3 linked regions of the Arabidopsis thaliana genome follow. The protein of the gene in region 1 interacts with the protein of each later gene in a pairwise test. Each region holds a gene or a part of one and is shown in the gene's direction. Other genes may lie near its edges. The genes, in order: RPA2, RPA1A and DML1.

Region 1 (5,702 bases):
AGCTGTTGAAGCACCGATGCTTTATAGTTGTGGAATCTGTAACAAAGGTTACAGGAGTTCCAAGGCTCATGAGCAGCATCTTAAGTCGAAGAGTCATGTTTTGAAGGCTTCGACGAGTACTGGAGAGGAGGATAAAGCGATCATCAAGCAGCTTCCGCCTCGTCGTGTTGAGAAGAATAACACTGCTCAATTGAAGGGTTCGATTGAGGAGGAAGAGAGTGAAGATGAATGGATTGAGGTTGATTCGGATGAGGATTTGGATGCGGAAATGAATGAGGATGGTGAAGAAGAAGATATGGATGAAGATGGTATTGAATTTGAGTTGGATCCGGCTTGTTGTTTGATGTGTGATAAGAAGCATAAGACTATAGAGAAATGTATGGTTCATATGCATAAGTTTCATGGGTTCTTCATTCCTGATATTGAGTACTTGAAGGATCCTAAAGGGTTTCTGACCTACCTCGGTCTAAAGGTTTGTGCTTTGTGCTTAGTCTGTCTTAGATCTTTGTTTTTCTTTGCTACTTAGTACTTACATGGTTGTTGTTTCAGGTCAAGAGAGACTTCGTGTGTCTGTACTGCAATGAATTGTGCCATCCATTTAGTAGTTTGGAAGCTGTTCGTAAGCATATGGACGCCAAAGGTCATTGCAAAGTGCATTATGGTGATGGTGGTGATGAAGAAGATGCAGAACTTGAAGAGTTCTATGACTACAGCAGCAGGTTCCATTTCTTCTGCTTTCTCCTCTGTTGTTGGTGTCTAAATGTGCTTGAACTAATTGTGTCTTCTTTTGATGTGTGTTTGTACAGCTATGTCAATGGAGACGAAAATCAGATGGTTGTGTCCGGTGAGTCAGTGAACACTGTAGAGCTTTTTGGTGGGTCTGAGCTTGTGATCACCAAGAGAACCGATAACAAAGTAACGTCTAGGACTCTTGGGTCTCGAGAATTCATGCGCTACTACAAACAGAAGCCAGCACCGTCTTCTCAGAAGCATATTGTCAACTCTCTAACCTCCAGGTTTGTCTTTAACCGATCAGAGATCATTTATCACTGTCTCTGTGTAGAATTTGAATCTGACGTGAATGGGTCTTAAAACACAGGTACAAGATGATGGGTCTAGCAACAGTGCAGTCAAAGGAGGCCATAGTGAGGATGAAGGTGATGAGAGAGATGAACAAAAGAGGAGCGAAAAGCAGTGTCAGGCTCGGAATGAAGAGCAACGTCATCAGGAATCTGCCCAACAATGTCACCTATTAGTCTTGCTCCTCGATTTTCAGGTCTCTCCTCTTTGTTTGATTTTGTGACCAGAGTTTTGGTGAGTAAATCTATCTAAGTTTTTCACTAGTACTCAAGTATCTTAGGCCCATTTGGGTCTCTGTTTTGTCTGATTTAGTCTTTTGAAAATGTTACGTTTTGGCTGAGTTTGTATCTCTTGCCCAGTGCTTTGTACACTCTACATTAATCTATATTTCATTTGGTAGAAGATCAAGAGCTAATCAATCTTTATCTGCTAAATCATAAATCTAGTACACTTTTCACTTATCTATACATTTGTTTTAGATAACGAATGCTCTCGACTTCACTTTCTCTAGCTATCTTGATAAATTGTATAAAGGTAAATGCACAGGTCGATTTACGAGTTCCTCACAAACCGCGAGTAAATCTCGACACGAATATCTTGCATCATCCACTATATCTCTTTATTATTTATCACTCTATTGCTCTCTCTTACAGGCACTACTGTTTCAAAAGAGAGAGGAACAAGTTTAAAGCCTAACTCTTTCCAAAGTCCAACAGCCCAACTTCACAGGAGCCCATCGAAATCATAAGTCTTCTAAACCGGAAAGCTTTTGAGTCGAATAAACTGAACTGAGAGTAAACCGGAGAACTGAATTTATTAAAAAGTAATTATATTATAGATTTACCTCGCCCTAATTGGCGGGAAGCTCTAATCAAAATTGGAGGGAAAATCCCCCAAAAATTCTTTCGTCGCTATTAAAATTCCCCCAAAATCTTCTCTTCCCTTTACTTTGATCACTTTTCAACTTCCTAAATCTCTTCACAGTTACTTTCGATTTTCCGATTTCGTAGCTTCGAAAATGTTCTCCAGCAGCCAATTCGAGCCTAATTCCGGCTTCTCCGGCGGCGGATTCATGTCTTCTCAACCTTCTCAAGCCTACGAATCCTCCTCCTCCACCGCTAAGGTAATATAATCCATCTTCCATTTCGTTCAATTCCACCGATTAGGCTACAGATCGAAAGTTTCCGAATCGCTAAACGTTTCTCTGTAACAATCGATTTTGGAATTGCTAAATCTGCTCTGTATATGTTTTGTGGGAATATGCAGAATCGTGATTTTCAAGGTCTTGTTCCAGTGACGGTGAAGCAAATCACCGAATGTTTCCAATCCAGTGGTGAAAAATCTGGTCTCGTCATCAATGGAATCTCACTAACAAACGTAAATACCATTTCTAGATCTCTTTGTTTATTACCGTTATTCGTCAATATGGTCAAACTTTTACTCAATTGTGTGATGTTTTTGGTATAATTCAGGTTTCACTTGTTGGATTAGTGTGTGACAAAGATGAATCTAAAGTCACAGAAGTTAGATTCACTCTTGATGATGGAACAGGACGAATTGACTGTAAAAGATGGTAAATACTCGGAAACTTTACCTTTTGATAGATGCAAGAGTTGTTTTTCGGTGCAGTGGTTAGTTTATGAAGTTTGTAATTGGTGTTGTTGTGCCTTTCTTATAGGGTGAGTGAAACTTTCGACGCTAGAGAAATGGAGTCTGTGCGGTTAGTATCTTTGGTTTTTGTTTGATTTATGTGGTGAGATCACATTTTTGGTTTTGGATGTGTTTTCTAATTGTTAGCTGTGAAACAGAGATGGAACTTATGTGCGCCTCAGTGGTCATTTGAAGACTTTTCAGGGCAAAACTCAGCTTCTTGTTTTCTCTGTGAGGTATGTTTTGTATTTTTGGTTGTGAAATGCTTTTGATTCCGTTACCATTGGCAATAGACGTTGGTATGTTCTGTATAAGCTTTGTTAGATATTTATATGAAATCGTCTGTTTTGTGTTGCAGGCCTATTATGGACTTCAATGAGGTTACTTTTCACTACATTGAGTGTATACACTTCTACTCCCAGAACTCTGAATCACAGGTAAAGAAAATGCAATATAGCAAAAGATAAATTGTGTTGTTCACAATTTGCAATCGAACCTCCCTCTCTGACTTGTGCTTTCTCAATAGAGACAACAAGTCGGTGATGTCACTCAGTCAGTTAACACCACATTTCAAGGTGGATCAAACACAAACCAGGCAACACTATTGAACCCTGTATGATGAATTCACCAAGTTTTTTTTTTTTTGGTTTTCTTCATGACATTTGTTTCTGTACTTAGAAATAGAATCTCATTATTGTTGCTCGTTTTTAGGTGGTTTCTTCTCAAAACAATGATGGCAATGGGCGCAAGAACTTGGATGATATGATTCTAGACTATCTAAAGCAACCTGCTTGCACGTGAGTTTGAATTTTCTCATTGCTGCCCCCATTGCTCCACTTAAAAAACTGGTCTAATAATAGTTCTGTTCACTGCAGTGCAAGACAACAGGGGATACATATCGATGAAATTGCTCAGCAGTTGAAGATCCCAAAAAACAAGCTAGAGTATGCTTTTTTTCTTTCTTTCTCCTTATAACATCTATCTCTCTTTATTACATTCAGAGTTGTTGAGCTCATGAGTTTGCTTTGTTTTTTTTACTGATGTGTTTATAGGGGCGTTGTTCAATCACTGGAAGGAGATGGTCTAATATACTCGACAATCGATGAGTATCACTTCAAGCACGTGGAGCTTTGATCTATCTAATAGTCATCTAGAGTTTGGTTAATCCGTAGATAGAGTCATTAGTATTGTCTGGTGATTTAAAAGATGTTTCAATATCCAGAACTATTAGGATCACGTCTAGTTCACTTCTGAAACTTTGGTAGTGTCATGCTTAATTCTGGTGTTGGATTGTTTCCTTGTTTCTTTCAATTTGGTAAGCCAACTTCAAAAGTTCAAAGTTGATTTTTTGTTTAATCTGAAACTATATTTGGTTTAAGACAGCGTTTTGTGTTGCAATGTCGCATACTAGAATCAAACTTGTAAATGAAACTGCAATTACATGTTACCAACAAAAACAGATACATAAACTCTGAAAACCCTAATTTGCCTCTAGACAAAACAATGAAACATAAAAGTGAAAACCCTAAACACACTTCCGAAACAAGCTAAGTTTACAAAGTCACTAAAGACCACAAAATAAAACCCTAATTAGACTCTGCTATTTGTCAACAGGTTTGCGACAGAGAGGGCAAGAGTTATTATGACCAATCACCCACTTGGTGACACATCCTTCATGATAACAATGCTTACAATAAGGCATCTGGCAATAATTCTCAGATCTCGACATATTCTCCAAACAGATTGCACAAGTCTCCGATTCTTCTTCTTGGTCCACATCTGTTGCTGACGGAGAAGAAATACAAGGGACAACACTGTATACCTTTTGAGTCAATTTGACAGAGACAATCATGAATAAAGGTTGTTGTTGTGAGTAAAAACTTTGACTTCTTTGTCGTTGGGCTTCGACAATCTTAGAAGATATCTGTTCGGACATGACATGATCGTGGAGTTGGCTTTGGAGACGGTGAAAGACGTCGTTTGGTTTAAAACATGGTAGTTTCAGAGAGATTAGTGGGTCGTGGCAAGAAGAATCAGGGTAAGAACCGAGACTCGTGACACTATCATCTTTCTCTTTAATGAGAAATTCCTCGACTTCTCTATGTAGACTGATTACTACGGTGCTTAAGAACCCTAATGACCGACCTTGAGACCAAGCCTGAACATGAACATCGAGTTTGAATGATTCAGTATCCATTCTCGTAGTGAAAATTAGACAAAAAATCAGAGAGAAAGATGATTCGTAAAAGATTAGATGAGAGAGGAGATTGTAGTGAAATCTGAAATTGTGGAGAAGTGAATGTGTAATGTTATGTTTATATAAGCAAAACTCTGATTATAATTGTTCGAACGCGTTAATTGTAATTTCCTTTCTTTATTCTAACCGTTAATGTAATTTCCTTTTCTCCATATTACCTTGTTTCCTTTTTTTCTTGTTGGTAAAACATCTCGTTATACCAGAGTGCTTAAACCAAACCATTTTTCCTATTGTAATTTGCCGGTTTATATTGTGTTGTTTGATTTTCCTCAAATACTTTAACTAATAACCAAAATATATATATATATATATATATTTTTTTTTGGATAACCCAGGTATCCCAAGCCCAATGGGCCCAGACTAGCCCACTGCGTGCGTCCCGAAGACGGCAAGAGTAGTTCTTCAAATACTTTAACTAATAACCAAAATATATTTTGTTACAATAATAAAGAGATTGTTAGATAAATTGTGATATTTCACAATCTCTTTGATTTTTTTTTTTTTTTTCTGGTTATCATCATGTTGATGTGCTAATTGTGTTATATGTTACTTGGGAGCAACCTAATATTTTATCAAATGCTTTTTAAAGACCTCTATAGTATTCATGTTTTCTCTGACTTAAGCTGGCAAAAACATATTTCAAGTGAAAAGTTGCTTTTCGTGTAGAAAATTGGATTATCCAAAACGCTAATGTGTTCAACATACTTGAAAAGAG
Region 2 (5,318 bases), 7.8 Mb from region 1:
ATCGACTTTTCTTCTTTTCAAAGACAACTTCAGCTTGTTCTTGTTGTTTATTCTCAAATTCATTCTCATCCACTTGAACCACTTCATCCAAATTGTCCACTTTATTCTCTGGATCCACTTCATCAGCTCGTTCTTGTTGGTTATTGTTTCCATCAGAATTAATGACTTCAGAAATTGTAGGATTTTCAGGTTTTTTCATGTACCTAAGAAGAGAATTAGCCTGTGATCTTACCAACTCTTCTCGTCTCTTTTGCAATTTTCTTTTATCACATCCATGAGGTTCCTTTTTGATCCCTAAAGGAGGCATCGTTCAAAGTCTCAACTCAACGCTCTAACGTACGTCGGTCGCTTGCTTCTTCACGGCAGATGGAATTAATCAGATTTTTAATGGAGGAAACCTAGAATAAGAGAATTGGTTGATGGGCTTTAGAAGTCTTGGGTTGAAAATCAGATTTTTTCTTCTCAACTCTCTTTTAATTAAGCCTCGTTGGACTTTAAAATTTTTGGGCCCTAAGCCACCGCTTATATCGCTTACGTCACGGGCCGGCCCTGCATGATTGTCTCAATCTATTTCTCATATGGTTGGTTGGTTGGTAATTTCAAAATTTCTGATGATAACTTGATTTGTTTGATAATTGCCAGGTTTTAGCTTGTTATCAAAATTGTGTCTATGAATTGGCTAATCTAATAAATTACTTGGGTTCTGTTTCTTTTTTGTTTACCTTTTTGATTATTGACGATCATATTTGGTTTTGTTTTTCATCGATTTTGTTTTCATCATGTAGTCTTTTCAATTTGTTCCTTTTTTGCAGTCGACTCTGTCAGCTGTAACCAAAATTGAAATCAAAACTAAGGTTCATGATCACTTATTCTTTTTCATCCTTTTGGAATTTTGGTTAATATGTGGTGAGATTCATGTAAATTAGTTTTTTTGGTTCTTGTTGTTGTTGTGTAGTGAAAGCTAGTACAGATGATGTGTTTTATGAGCTTCAAAACCCTAGAGAGCAGATCCAAGCTTATGTGTTTAATGGTAACTTTTTGCTTCTTTCTTGATATTTTTGTTGTTGTTGAAGAATTAGCTCTGTTTACGATTCTTGATTTGTTCTTGTATGTTTTTTTTTTTTAAACATAGTGGTTAGAGCTTTGGTGCCAATGATGACGCTAGATGCTCTTTTGAACAAAAGTGAGAAGTTGCTAAGTCTGTTCTTGAGTAATTTGAGAAGGTATAACATGTTGTTCATTCGAAATCTCATTCTATTGAGAGATTCTTTTGAGAGATTCTTGATATTTTATAGTGATTAAACATTTGTTGAGCTAATTAATTTGTTGGTTTTGAATCTAATTTTTTTCTTTTTTTTAAAAACCCCAAATTAATATACTACTATTAATCATGCCAAAAATTAAAACTCTTACCAAACTCTTAACTACAAATTTTCAATATCAATTAATAAAAATATTGCTAAGAGTCATTGCTAATAGCCTCCCATTGTGGATGCTCTAAGAGCATCATTATTGGGGATTGCTTAGATTATTCTTAGGGTAGTTCATAGGTATATATATAATTAATTTTGAAATCTTTTATGTTAAGAGTTTGGTTAAGAAATTATAATTTTGGTAATATGCAATGGTGAGTTCTTAGCTTTGAGTTCTTAAGAAGAAAAAAAAATATTTAAAAATAAAAACATTTTAATTTTAAAGACTTTAATAATGATTACAACATAAATTTTGAAAACATTTAACAATGTAGTTAATATTTTACACTCACCCAATAAAAACTTGACACATGTCTAGCTCTTAGATTTAATTTTTGCTCTTATATAAGAGCAATTCTTACCAAAGAAATCAATTAAAACATTAAATTTCTAATCTAATTAACATAAGAACTAGTCTGAGCTTACCAATAAGGATGTTCTAAGGGGTTCTATAGTCTTTCTCTCTTTCGAGAATTTAATCCAAGTCGTTCACAGTTACGAGTCGAGGGTAAATTAGTAGTTTTACACTGAAATATCAACCAAAAAATTTCAAAATTGAAAAATCTCCATAAACTGTTTTGCGACCCAAAACAACATCTTTTAAGCTTCTCCCGCAAAATTCAGCAAAGCTTTCGGAGGAATCTCCTAACAGTCACCACCACCACCACCGTCTAGGTCAAATCTCGTCTTCCTCACGCTCTATTTCTCCATAGAATATTTCCTAACTCCTCCTCCGGTTTATCGATTTTTTCAATTTTTCTAGGGTTTCGCGCCGGGATCTAAAAAATCACAATCATGCCGGTGAGTTTGACTCCGAACGCAATCACGGCGATACATGACGGCGACGTGAATTTGAAGCCGTTGTTACAGGTTTTAGAAATCAAAATGATAGGAAGAAGTCAAGAGAGAAGCCAGGAGAGGTATCGTTTCCTCATTTCAGATGGTGTTTCTGCTCAACATGCTATGGTCGCGGTTCAGCTTAATGATCGAGTCAAGTCAGGACAATTTGAGAAAGGATCTATCGTTCAGCTGATTGATTACATTTGTAGCGACGTTAAAGGCCGCAAGTAATTTTTCCATTTTCTCTCTGGTTAGATCTAGTTTTCGTTGTGTTGAATTGCTTAGTTTTCTAGTGATCTCTGATTTGTTGCTTAGTAATGTTTCTGAGTATTCGTGGCTATGTATTTGGTTTAGTATGTGTAAGGCATTTGTTACAATGAGTTTGCAGAAGCAATGATAGCTTCGCTTTTGGTAGAGACCTTTCAATGAGGTTTCGTGTATTGATGAATGATTTTGGTTAACATGTACTAGTGGGAAAGATTTGTGTTGTTGTCTTTGTAGTTCATGGTATTTAATGGTTGGTAGGCAGATGTTAAGGACAACATTTAGGATGATAATGGAGATGATTTTGTTGATTGTGTGAGTTGGAAAATATAGTTACACAATTGTTTTGGTTGAACATGACATATTTGAAGGAGTTTTGCTCTCTTTGATTGTGATTTTCTTATGGATTTATTCATACTGTGTACAGGCTTATTGTGGTGCTGAACATGGAGACGATAGTACAACAGTCTGAAACCATTGGGAACCCTACAATATTTGGAGAAACAGATACAGAAGCCCAGAAGACATTTTCAGGTACGGGCAATATACCGCCTCCGAACAGGGTTGTTTTTAATGAACCAATGGTTCAGCATTCTGTTAATAGAGCACCTCCCAGGGGTGTAAACATTCAAAATCAAGCCAACAATACTCCAAGCTTCAGGCCATCTGTTCAACCTTCATATCAACCGCCTGCAAGTTACAGAAATCATGGACCCATCATGAAGAACGAGGCTCCAGCTCGAGTCATCCCTATTGCTGCTCTCAATCCATACCAAGGTCGATGGGCTATTAAGGCTAGAGTAACTGCGAAAGGAGATATCAGACGATATAACAATGCAAAAGGAGATGGAAAGGTTTTCTCGTTTGATCTGCTTGACTATGATGGAGGGGAGATTCGGGTTACGTGCTTTAATGCTCTTGTTGACCGTTTCTATGATGTTACTGAGGTTGGTAAGGTATATTTGATTTCAAAGGGAAGTTTGAAGCCTGCACAGAAAAATTTCAACCACTTAAAGAATGAATGGGAAATTTTCTTGGAGTCAACATCGACTGTGGAGCTTTGCCCTGATGAAGATGGCTCCATACCAAAGCAGCAATTCTCCTTCCGCCCAATAAGTGACATTGAGAACGCTGAGAACAATACCATACTCGATGTCATTGGTGTGGTGACTTCTGTGAACCCCTCGGTGCCAATCTTGAGAAAGAACGGGATGGAAACCCATAGGAGGATCCTGAATCTAAAGGATGAATCAGGAAAGGCTGTAGAGGTAACACTTTGGGGAGAATTCTGTAACCGAGATGGTCGGCAACTGGAAGAGATGGTTGATTCAGCTTTTCACCCGGTTTTAGCAATAAAAGCTGGAAAAGTAAGCGACTTCAGTGGGAAATCAGTAGGGACAATATCTTCAACACAGCTCTTCATAAATCCAGATTTCCCTGAAGCTCATAAACTACGGACCTGGTTCGATTACGGGGGAAAAGACACTGCTTCCTTCTCCATCTCCAGGGACACTATGCCTGGAGGAGTTTCCAGGAACGAGATAAGGAAAAATGTTTCTCAGATCAAAGAGGAAGGTCTTGGAAGATCAGATAAGCCTGACTGGATCACTGTGAAAGCAACCATATCATTCATCAAAACAGATAGCTTCTGTTATACAGCTTGTCCTTTGATGATCGGGGATAAACAATGCAACAAGAAGGTTACACGGTCTGGAACAAACAGGTGGCTCTGTGACCGGTGCAACCAAGAGTCTGATGAATGCGACTATAGATACCTTCTTCAGGTACAGATTCAAGACCACACTGGGTTGACTTGGATAACCGCGTTTCAAGAAACAGGAGAAGAAATAATGGGATGTCCGGCTAAGAAGCTTTACGCAATGAAATACGAATTGGAGAAGGAGGAAGAGTTCGCAGAGATTGTTAGAGACAGACTGTTTCATCAGTACATGTTGAAGCTGAAGATCAAAGAGGAATCGTATGGGGATGAACAAAGAGTGAAGATGACTGTTGTGAAGGTTGATAAGGTGAATTATACATCCGAGAGTAAATACATGCTTGATTTGCTCGTAAGGTAAGTTCGTTCTAGGTATTACAGTGAGGTATTTCAATTAACTCAGAATATGCAAGCTCGAGTTTAGTACACTATTATATTATGAATTGATGAATTCTATTGAATCTTGATTCAATGAAGCTTAGTGTTATGATTTCAAGTCTCAATCGTCTTTCGAATTCAGGAAACAACAAATTTGACTTTTATCCAAAAGTTCATTGCTGCAACATTGAAACGAATACACAGAAGGAGAACAGATTACAATAATGATGTAAGAAAGATATATAGGTCTTAGGTTCTCTTGACAGGGTCAAAGTTGGAGACGCCGACGACGACACCAATGATGACAGTGAGGACGAGGCCACCAGAAGCAATGCTGAGCAAGAAATTCTTGAGGGAAGGAGAGATTCCAGAACCAGCAGCTTCAGCTATCTCCGGAATCACCATCGAAGCAGTAAGAGCAGCCGCGGAGATACCGGTCAAAGCCTTGTCCATCTTGAGGGCCTTAACTTGAAGCCTCTGTGCTCTGCCTCCAGTTGCAACCAAAGCCTTGGATGGTTTCAGAGGTAATGGCTTAAGGAAAGGAGACGAACGGGTCTGGTTAAGTGGTGTGACCAATGACATCGCGGAGGTAGAAGCCATCTCTTCCGATCTCTTTTTGGTCTCTCTAGATTGATCTTTCTGAGATT
Region 3 (7,893 bases), 4.9 Mb from region 1:
AACTACGTGAATGATACCATATCATAAGACAAAAAATAGAAGTATGGATTGAGATACAAGCGTGGCGTCTTTGTTTTCAAGTGACCTATCTCCTTGATTATATTAAATAAAAACTAGTAAACAGGTTACATGATAGATTCGTAGATTAGTAGTATTTCAAGTTATAATTAAGATCAGGATATTTATAGTTACAGAGTATGATCGAGTAACAAGCGACGATTTATATGAGGTTTTTAGGCATGCCGGCTTTAGACTATAGTCGATGAAGCAAGGACTTTAAGGTCGACGCCAAAATATTTTTTATATTTTGAACTTTTGAGAACCCTAGTTAGGCCTAAGCTTCACTTTGCTTGGCACACAGCCGGTTATATTGGTGGATCAATGTATGGATATTTTGTATGTTTGGAGTGATGGCTTTATCGAACTCTCTGAACACAACTCTGCTAACCATACATCCACACGTCGTGTGATAATTAGATCTTATATAATAGTCCAAAAATGACTTCCAACTCATATATTTATATAAATAGTCTTCTTTTGTGGTTATATGTTTGGTTATTTCTATTTATAGTTTAATTCAATACCAATATTACAACTAAATCAGTTTAATTTTTCTTTGATTTGGTCTTTGAATTCACTTTCATGGTCAGTTTCATTGTTTAAGATAAACTTGAATGGATTAAACCGAATTAGGCATTCACTTTTGATCAGTCTCTTCTGCCATAATCTTCATAAGACAAACCCAAATTTGTAAAAACTTTTTTGAAAAAGAAACCGTAAGTAAAAGTAAAAGCGTTTAGGATCCAAGTATGGATTAGCTTCGTAATTTGAATTAGGTTTAGCTATACGAATTCGTTTACTTTTGTACCATATTTAGTTGTATTGTTTTCAATAATAGTTTTAAACATTCGAATAATCCGTTCCCAACTTTTTATCCACTATTATTCGTCTCAGTTTCTAGGATAGATATGTCCACACAAAAAAGCTCTTGATTTTTTTTTTTTTTTTTACAAATTCCAAATTTCTTTGCTCATAACCCAATCATTAGGTTATGACCACCATTGACTCACTCATAAGTCATAAGTCATAGGCTCATAACCAATCCAACAAGTTGTTAAGATTGACAACAACGATTCACTAAGATTCCAACCAAGTCCATGAAATAAATGATTTACAATACTCATTTCTCATGTACGTCTCTTTGAAGGTTTCTTGCATGACAGGAAATCAAAGGTTAGCACACTAATTACTCTTTTTTTCACACACATTCACAGTTTCACACATATGGTGCAGTATTTTGACTCCTATCGTACTAGACTAAAACATTTGGAATGATCAAAAACGAAAGACTCGTTGGGCAACTAGCCTAATAATCACTCTACTACACTAGCTCCCATATCAGTGGAAAATAATAATTCTAAAACGAATCATTTAACTTCTGCATATGTAAACGAAAACGTGTAAATTTATGAGATTACGTAAAAATTAGCAAAATAATATATTATTGATCAAAATTATAAACGTGGATTACATAACATGTTATTTGTTTAAATCATAATTTGATGATAAATTTATAAATAAAGTTCTAATTATTTTATATCTAAAGCAAAATTAAGATTATTTTATAATTTCTATTAATTATAAAATTAGTTAGTTCATATAATTTTAAATAGTTACGTAAACGAGAAAAAATACGAAATTTTAAAGAGAAAAAGATAACAGAAAAGACGATGATGACGATGACGATAACAACGACAATATTATTAACTTTTTAAATCATCTTTCCCATAGTCTAGGAGATTTTGTAGAAAAGAATCATTATTTTTAAAATAAAATTCCGTAAAACTTTTCCCGCCAACCAAACGAACTTTCGCCCTACATAAACAAACGGTTATGAAAAATAGTGAAACACACAACAACACATGTTATATCCTCTTCTTTATACGTTAGGCCAAAAAAGCTTTTTCTATATTACTCTTTAACTTCATCGATTCCAAGAGAAGAAACGAAGCATCAGTGATCTTATCCTCTCATAGCTACCACCGAACTAACTCTCTCCATCACCACCATAACCATTGATTCTACTGGTAATGAATTTTGTTTTTTTCTTACTTTTTTTTACATTTTGTTGTGAATCTAAAAAGTCTCTCTTTCACCTAACGAACGGATTAATCGTTCATGTCGCCACTCACCCAAAATCAATGACTTCCGGAGATCTCTCTTTCTCTAAAACCCCAGAAAAAAGTGGATCTGATCATTTTATAAAATCGTGATTTTTAAAAAAAATTGGTGATCTCTTTTATTGAAGAAATTATTGAACTTTTTGCAGTGGAAAAAATAGAAAGTTCCAAGCTTTTTCTCAAATGGTTCTGATTTAAGTAAGAGTGAAGAAAAGTAAAAATAGAGTCAGAAATGGAGAAACAGAGGAGAGAAGAAAGCAGCTTTCAACAACCTCCATGGATTCCTCAGACACCCATGAAGCCATTTTCACCGATCTGCCCATACACGGTGGAGGATCAATATCATAGCAGTCAATTGGAGGAAAGGTTTGTGCTTTTTTGTTCTAAAGTTGAGAAATTTCAAAGAGTAGTGATGGGTAATTGGTTAAGTAAGGTATTGATGCATGCAGGAGATTTGTTGGGAACAAGGATATGAGTGGTCTTGATCACTTGTCTTTTGGGGATTTGCTTGCTCTAGCTAACACTGCATCCCTCATATTCTCTGGTCAGACTCCAATACCTACAAGTAAGAGGGGATTTTGATTCTGGTCTCATGAGAAATGAAATCGCTTTGTCAAATTTTGATTCTGTTTGAGTTGGACTGAGAAAGATGTGATTCTCAATGTAGGAAACACAGAGGTTATGCAAAAAGGTACTGAAGAAGTGGAGAGTTTGAGCTCAGTGAGTAACAATGTTGCTGAACAGATCCTCAAGACTCCTGAAAAACCTAAGAGGAAGAAGCATCGGCCAAAGGTTCGTAGAGAAGCTAAACCCAAGAGGGAGCCTAAACCACGAGCTCCGAGGAAGTCTGTTGTCACCGATGGTCAAGAAAGCAAAACACCAAAGAGGAAATATGTGCGGAAGAAGGTTGAAGTCAGTAAGGATCAAGACGCTACTCCGGTTGAATCATCAGCAGCTGTTGAAACTTCAACTCGTCCTAAGAGGCTCTGTAGACGAGTCTTGGATTTTGAAGCCGAAAATGGAGAAAACCAGACCAACGGTGACATTAGAGAAGCAGGTGAGATGGAATCAGCTCTTCAAGAGAAGCAGTTAGATTCTGGGAATCAAGAGTTAAAAGATTGCCTTCTTTCGGCTCCTAGCACGCCCAAGAGAAAGCGCAGCCAAGGTAAAAGAAAGGGAGTTCAACCAAAGAAAAATGGCAGTAATCTAGAAGAAGTCGATATTTCGATGGCGCAAGCTGCAAAGAGAAGACAAGGACCAACTTGTTGCGACATGAATCTATCAGGGATTCAGTATGATGAGCAATGTGACTACCAGAAAATGCATTGGTTGTATTCCCCAAACTTGCAACAGGGAGGGATGAGATATGATGCCATTTGCAGCAAAGTATTCTCTGGACAACAGCACAATTATGTTTCTGCCTTTCACGCTACGTGCTACAGTTCCACATCTCAGCTCAGTGCTAATAGAGTCCTAACCGTTGAAGAAAGACGAGAAGGTATCTTTCAAGGAAGGCAAGAGTCTGAGCTAAATGTTCTCTCGGATAAGATAGACACGCCGATCAAGAAGAAAACAACAGGCCATGCTCGATTCCGGAATTTGTCTTCAATGAATAAACTTGTGGAAGTTCCTGAGCATTTAACCTCAGGATATTGTAGCAAGCCACAGCAAAATAATAAGATTCTTGTTGATACGCGGGTGACTGTGAGCAAAAAGAAGCCAACCAAGTCTGAGAAATCACAAACCAAACAGAAAAATCTTCTTCCGAATCTTTGCCGTTTTCCACCTTCATTTACTGGTAATGAATAGATACAGAACTATATTTCTTTGTTTTTTTGAATCTGTTAAATGCAGACTATTTCTTGATAATGATGATGTTTGATTCCTGCAGGTCTTTCTCCAGATGAACTTTGGAAACGACGTAACTCGATCGAAACAATCAGTGAGCTATTGCGTCTATTAGACATCAACAGGGAGCATTCTGAAACTGCTCTCGTTCCTTACACAATGAATAGCCAGATTGTACTCTTTGGTGGTGGCGCTGGAGCAATTGTGCCTGTAACTCCTGTTAAAAAACCACGCCCACGACCAAAGGTTGATCTAGACGATGAGACAGACAGAGTGTGGAAACTGCTATTGGAGAATATTAATAGCGAAGGTGTTGACGGATCAGACGAGCAGAAGGCGAAATGGTGGGAGGAAGAACGTAATGTGTTTCGAGGACGAGCTGACTCATTTATTGCAAGGATGCACCTTGTACAAGGTTATACACCACACTTGTCCTTTTATGTGTTTCTGTTCTAACCACATGGTTTCAATTAGTATGTCTCAGCTACTGCTTCTTGTTATGGTCTTTGGTTTCTAACAGGGGATCGACGTTTTACGCCTTGGAAGGGATCCGTCGTGGATTCTGTTGTTGGAGTATTTCTCACTCAAAATGTTTCAGACCATCTCTCAAGGTACAAGCTCTTACATAATTCTATGTCAAACTAAATCCAAGACAGCAAAAAGTCACAAAACTAACTTGCTTTGATGTTTTTTACTCCTTGTAGTTCGGCTTTCATGTCGTTGGCTTCCCAGTTCCCTGTCCCTTTTGTACCGAGCAGTAACTTTGACGCTGGAACAAGCTCGATGCCTTCTATTCAAATAACGTACTTGGACTCAGAGGAAACGATGTCAAGCCCACCCGATCACAATCACAGTTCTGTTACTTTGAAAAATACACAGCCTGATGAGGAGAAGGATTATGTACCTAGCAATGAAACCTCCAGAAGCAGTAGTGAGATTGCCATCTCAGCCCATGAATCAGTTGACAAAACCACGGATTCAAAGGAGTATGTTGATTCAGATCGAAAAGGCTCAAGTGTAGAGGTTGATAAGACGGATGAGAAGTGTCGTGTCCTGAACCTGTTTCCATCTGAAGATTCTGCACTTACATGTCAACATTCGATGGTGTCTGATGCTCCTCAAAATACAGAGAGAGCAGGATCAAGCTCAGAGATCGACTTAGAAGGAGAGTATCGTACTTCCTTTATGAAGCTCCTACAGGGGGTACAAGTCTCTCTAGAAGATTCCAATCAAGTATCACCAAATATGTCTCCGGGTGATTGTAGCTCAGAAATTAAGGGTTTCCAGTCAATGAAAGAGCCCACAAAATCCTCTGTTGATAGTAGTGAACCTGGTTGTTGCTCTCAGCAAGATGGGGATGTTTTGAGTTGTCAGAAACCTACCTTAAAAGAAAAAGGGAAAAAGGTTTTGAAGGAGGAAAAAAAAGCGTTTGACTGGGATTGTTTAAGAAGAGAAGCCCAAGCTAGAGCAGGAATTAGAGAAAAAACAAGAAGTACAATGGACACCGTGGATTGGAAGGCAATACGAGCAGCAGATGTTAAGGAAGTTGCTGAAACAATCAAGAGTCGCGGGATGAACCATAAACTTGCAGAACGTATACAGGTAAAAATTTAGTGGCTAAATTTCGTGATAACATTCATTTTAAGTATTTGACTCTGAACATGAAAATCATGCAGGGCTTCCTTGATCGACTGGTAAATGACCATGGAAGTATCGATCTTGAATGGTTGAGAGATGTTCCACCAGATAAAGCAAAGTAAGTTTGAAAGACGAAGCATTTTATTTCTTCTTTATTAACCTATACAAAGATTACTACTTTGGCAGTTTTAGTGACTTAATAATGAATTATGTACTCTCGTATATTACAAAACCCTGCAGAGAATATCTTCTGAGCTTTAACGGATTGGGACTGAAAAGTGTGGAGTGTGTGCGGCTTCTAACACTTCACCATCTTGCCTTTCCAGTAAGCAAGGATCAAACTTTTGTTTCTGTCCCTATAAAAAGTGAATTATATGATGCATGAACTTAATTTATTGACAGGTTGATACAAATGTTGGGCGCATAGCCGTCAGACTTGGATGGGTGCCCCTTCAGCCGCTCCCAGAGTCACTTCAGTTGCATCTTCTGGAAATGTAAGCACTTTTCAAAATGGTCCTACTTGGAAATTGTAATTTGTTACTTAATACATCTGAGGTTTGGTTTGTCTAGGTATCCTATGCTTGAATCTATTCAAAAGTATCTTTGGCCCCGTCTCTGCAAACTCGACCAAAAAACATTGTAAGAATGATGTTTATCACTAACTTTTTTTTTTTCATGCCTCAGTCTAATACACTTATTCATTAGTTTAATACCCTATTATCTCACAGGTATGAGTTGCACTACCAGATGATTACTTTTGGAAAGGTATGTATTAAAGAAATACATATATACGTATGTCAAAATCAGCTCACATGATGAGGTTTGTAATCTGCTTGATTATTGTATCAGGTCTTTTGCACAAAGAGCAAACCTAATTGCAATGCATGTCCGATGAAAGGAGAATGCAGACATTTTGCCAGTGCGTTTGCAAGGTGCTACAACATGTTCTCTTAAACCTTTAGTACCACTATGACTCTATGAGGAAAGTCCTTGTTAAAATATAACCCAGTTAAATGAGAATTGGTCTGTATCTAAACGAAGCTCTGAATCATCATTACAGAAAATTTAGTAACATTCATTTGTTTTACAGTGCAAGGCTTGCTTTACCAAGTACAGAGAAAGGTATGGGGACACCTGATAAAAACCCTTTGCCTCTACACCTGCCAGAGCCATTCCAGAGAGAGCAAGGGTCTGAAGTAGTACAGCACTCAGAACCAGCAAAAAAGGTCACATGTTGTGAACCAATCATCGAAGAGCCTGCTTCACCGGAGCCAGAAACCGCAGAAGTATCAATAGCTGACATAGAGGAGGCGTTTTTTGAGGATCCAGAAGAAATTCCTACCATCAGGCTAAACATGGATGCATTTACCAGTAACTTGAAGAAGATAATGGAACACAACAAGGAACTTCAAGACGGAAACATGTCCAGCGCTTTAGTTGCACTTACTGCTGAAACTGCTTCTCTTCCAATGCCTAAGCTCAAGAATATCAGCCAGTTAAGGACAGAACACCGAGTGTAAGAATCCATTTTTCTCTGTTTTTCTTCGTTCTTAGGTTAAAAATGAAATCAGAAACACATTTTTCAAAATTATTAAAGCTTGAACAGAGTAGAATATTTAAGTGATTGACCAAGCATGAACTCGTAAGTTGGAAAGCAGACAAACTTCCCAATAATTACAGGCTATGCCATAACTTGTTTCTTTTCCCGTATCTTGCAGTTACGAACTTCCAGACGAGCATCCTCTTCTAGCTCAGGTATGTGAGCTAACTGGATAAGGACACATGCCGTATAGAGTGCTGTCTATATTGTAAAATCTGACTAGCTGTTTGTGATTTCTTGTGGCAGTTGGAAAAGAGAGAACCTGATGATCCATGTTCTTATTTGCTTGCTATATGGACGCCAGGTAATTTAATGATTTGCATATCTTTTAATCATGAAATCAAATCGGTATCTTTAATCGATGTGTTATTCAACAGGTGAGACGGCTGATTCTATTCAACCGTCTGTTAGTACGTGCATATTCCAAGCAAATGGTATGCTTTGTGACGAGGAGACTTGTTTCTCCTGCAACAGCATCAAGGAGACTAGATCTCAAATTGTGAGAGGGACAATTTTGGTAAGTAGTTGCATCAATCTCCTTATGCGGCTTACTACACTTATGTTTTCTACAGATTAATATGTTGTAAATTGTACAGATTCCTTGTAGAACAGCGATGAGGGGTAGTT

Evidence for each region.
Region 2: the proteins of RPA2 (region 1) and RPA1A interact in a two-hybrid assay, tested with the Arabidopsis thaliana proteins (one study listed by BioGRID).
Region 3: the proteins of RPA2 (region 1) and DML1 interact in a two-hybrid assay, tested with the Arabidopsis thaliana proteins (one study listed by BioGRID).

The regions. Positions count from the first base shown.
Region 1 is NC_003071.7:10,396,813-10,402,514, reverse strand, and holds RPA2 (replicon protein A2), read left to right. Parts: upstream 1-2,016; 5' UTR 2,017-2,098; coding exon 2,099-2,203; intron 2,204-2,346; coding exon 2,347-2,457; intron 2,458-2,552; coding exon 2,553-2,653; intron 2,654-2,758; coding exon 2,759-2,800; intron 2,801-2,888; coding exon 2,889-2,966; intron 2,967-3,088; coding exon 3,089-3,167; intron 3,168-3,256; coding exon 3,257-3,343; intron 3,344-3,441; coding exon 3,442-3,527; intron 3,528-3,605; coding exon 3,606-3,674; intron 3,675-3,782; coding exon 3,783-3,864; 3' UTR 3,865-4,045; exon of another isoform or gene 4,046-4,111; intron 4,112-4,330; coding exon of another isoform or gene 4,331-4,927; 3' UTR 4,928-5,138; downstream 5,139-5,702. Other genes in the region: FZF (Zinc finger protein 622), read left to right, coding at 1-472, 550-719, 807-1,016, 1,100-1,256; AT2G24480 (Zinc finger, C3HC4 type (RING finger) family protein), read right to left, coding at 4,331-4,927. UniProt on the Arabidopsis thaliana protein: Component of the replication protein A complex (RPA) required for DNA recombination, repair and replication. The activity of RPA is mediated by single-stranded DNA binding and protein interactions. Required fo cell division in meristems.
Region 2 is NC_003071.7:2,582,948-2,588,265, forward strand, and holds RPA1A (replication protein A 1A), read left to right. Parts: upstream 1-2,036; 5' UTR 2,037-2,147; intron 2,148-2,235; 5' UTR 2,236-2,267; coding exon 2,268-2,539; intron 2,540-3,003; coding exon 3,004-4,654; 3' UTR 4,655-4,739; downstream 4,740-5,318. Other genes in the region: AT2G06500 (hAT family dimerization domain-containing protein), read right to left, coding at 7-203, 233-276; PSBX (photosystem II subunit X), read right to left, coding at 4,921-5,271. UniProt on the Arabidopsis thaliana protein: Component of the replication protein A complex (RPA) required for DNA recombination, repair and replication. The activity of RPA is mediated by single-stranded DNA binding and protein interactions.
Region 3 is NC_003071.7:15,308,792-15,316,684, reverse strand, and holds the start of DML1 (demeter-like 1), read left to right. Parts: upstream 1-1,877; 5' UTR 1,878-2,087; intron 2,088-2,329; 5' UTR 2,330-2,412; coding exon 2,413-2,546; intron 2,547-2,629; coding exon 2,630-2,745; intron 2,746-2,847; coding exon 2,848-3,978; intron 3,979-4,071; coding exon 4,072-4,443; intron 4,444-4,548; coding exon 4,549-4,639; intron 4,640-4,732; coding exon 4,733-5,630; intron 5,631-5,704; coding exon 5,705-5,784; intron 5,785-5,906; coding exon 5,907-5,991; intron 5,992-6,068; coding exon 6,069-6,160; intron 6,161-6,236; coding exon 6,237-6,305; intron 6,306-6,394; coding exon 6,395-6,431; intron 6,432-6,515; coding exon 6,516-6,598; intron 6,599-6,756; coding exon 6,757-7,182; intron 7,183-7,384; coding exon 7,385-7,421; intron 7,422-7,512; coding exon 7,513-7,570; intron 7,571-7,643; coding exon 7,644-7,783; intron 7,784-7,862; coding exon 7,863-7,893. UniProt on the Arabidopsis thaliana protein: Bifunctional DNA glycosylase/lyase, which excises 5-methylcytosine (5-meC) and 5-hydroxymethylcytosine (5-hmeC), leaving an apyrimidinic (AP) site that is subsequently incised by the lyase activity.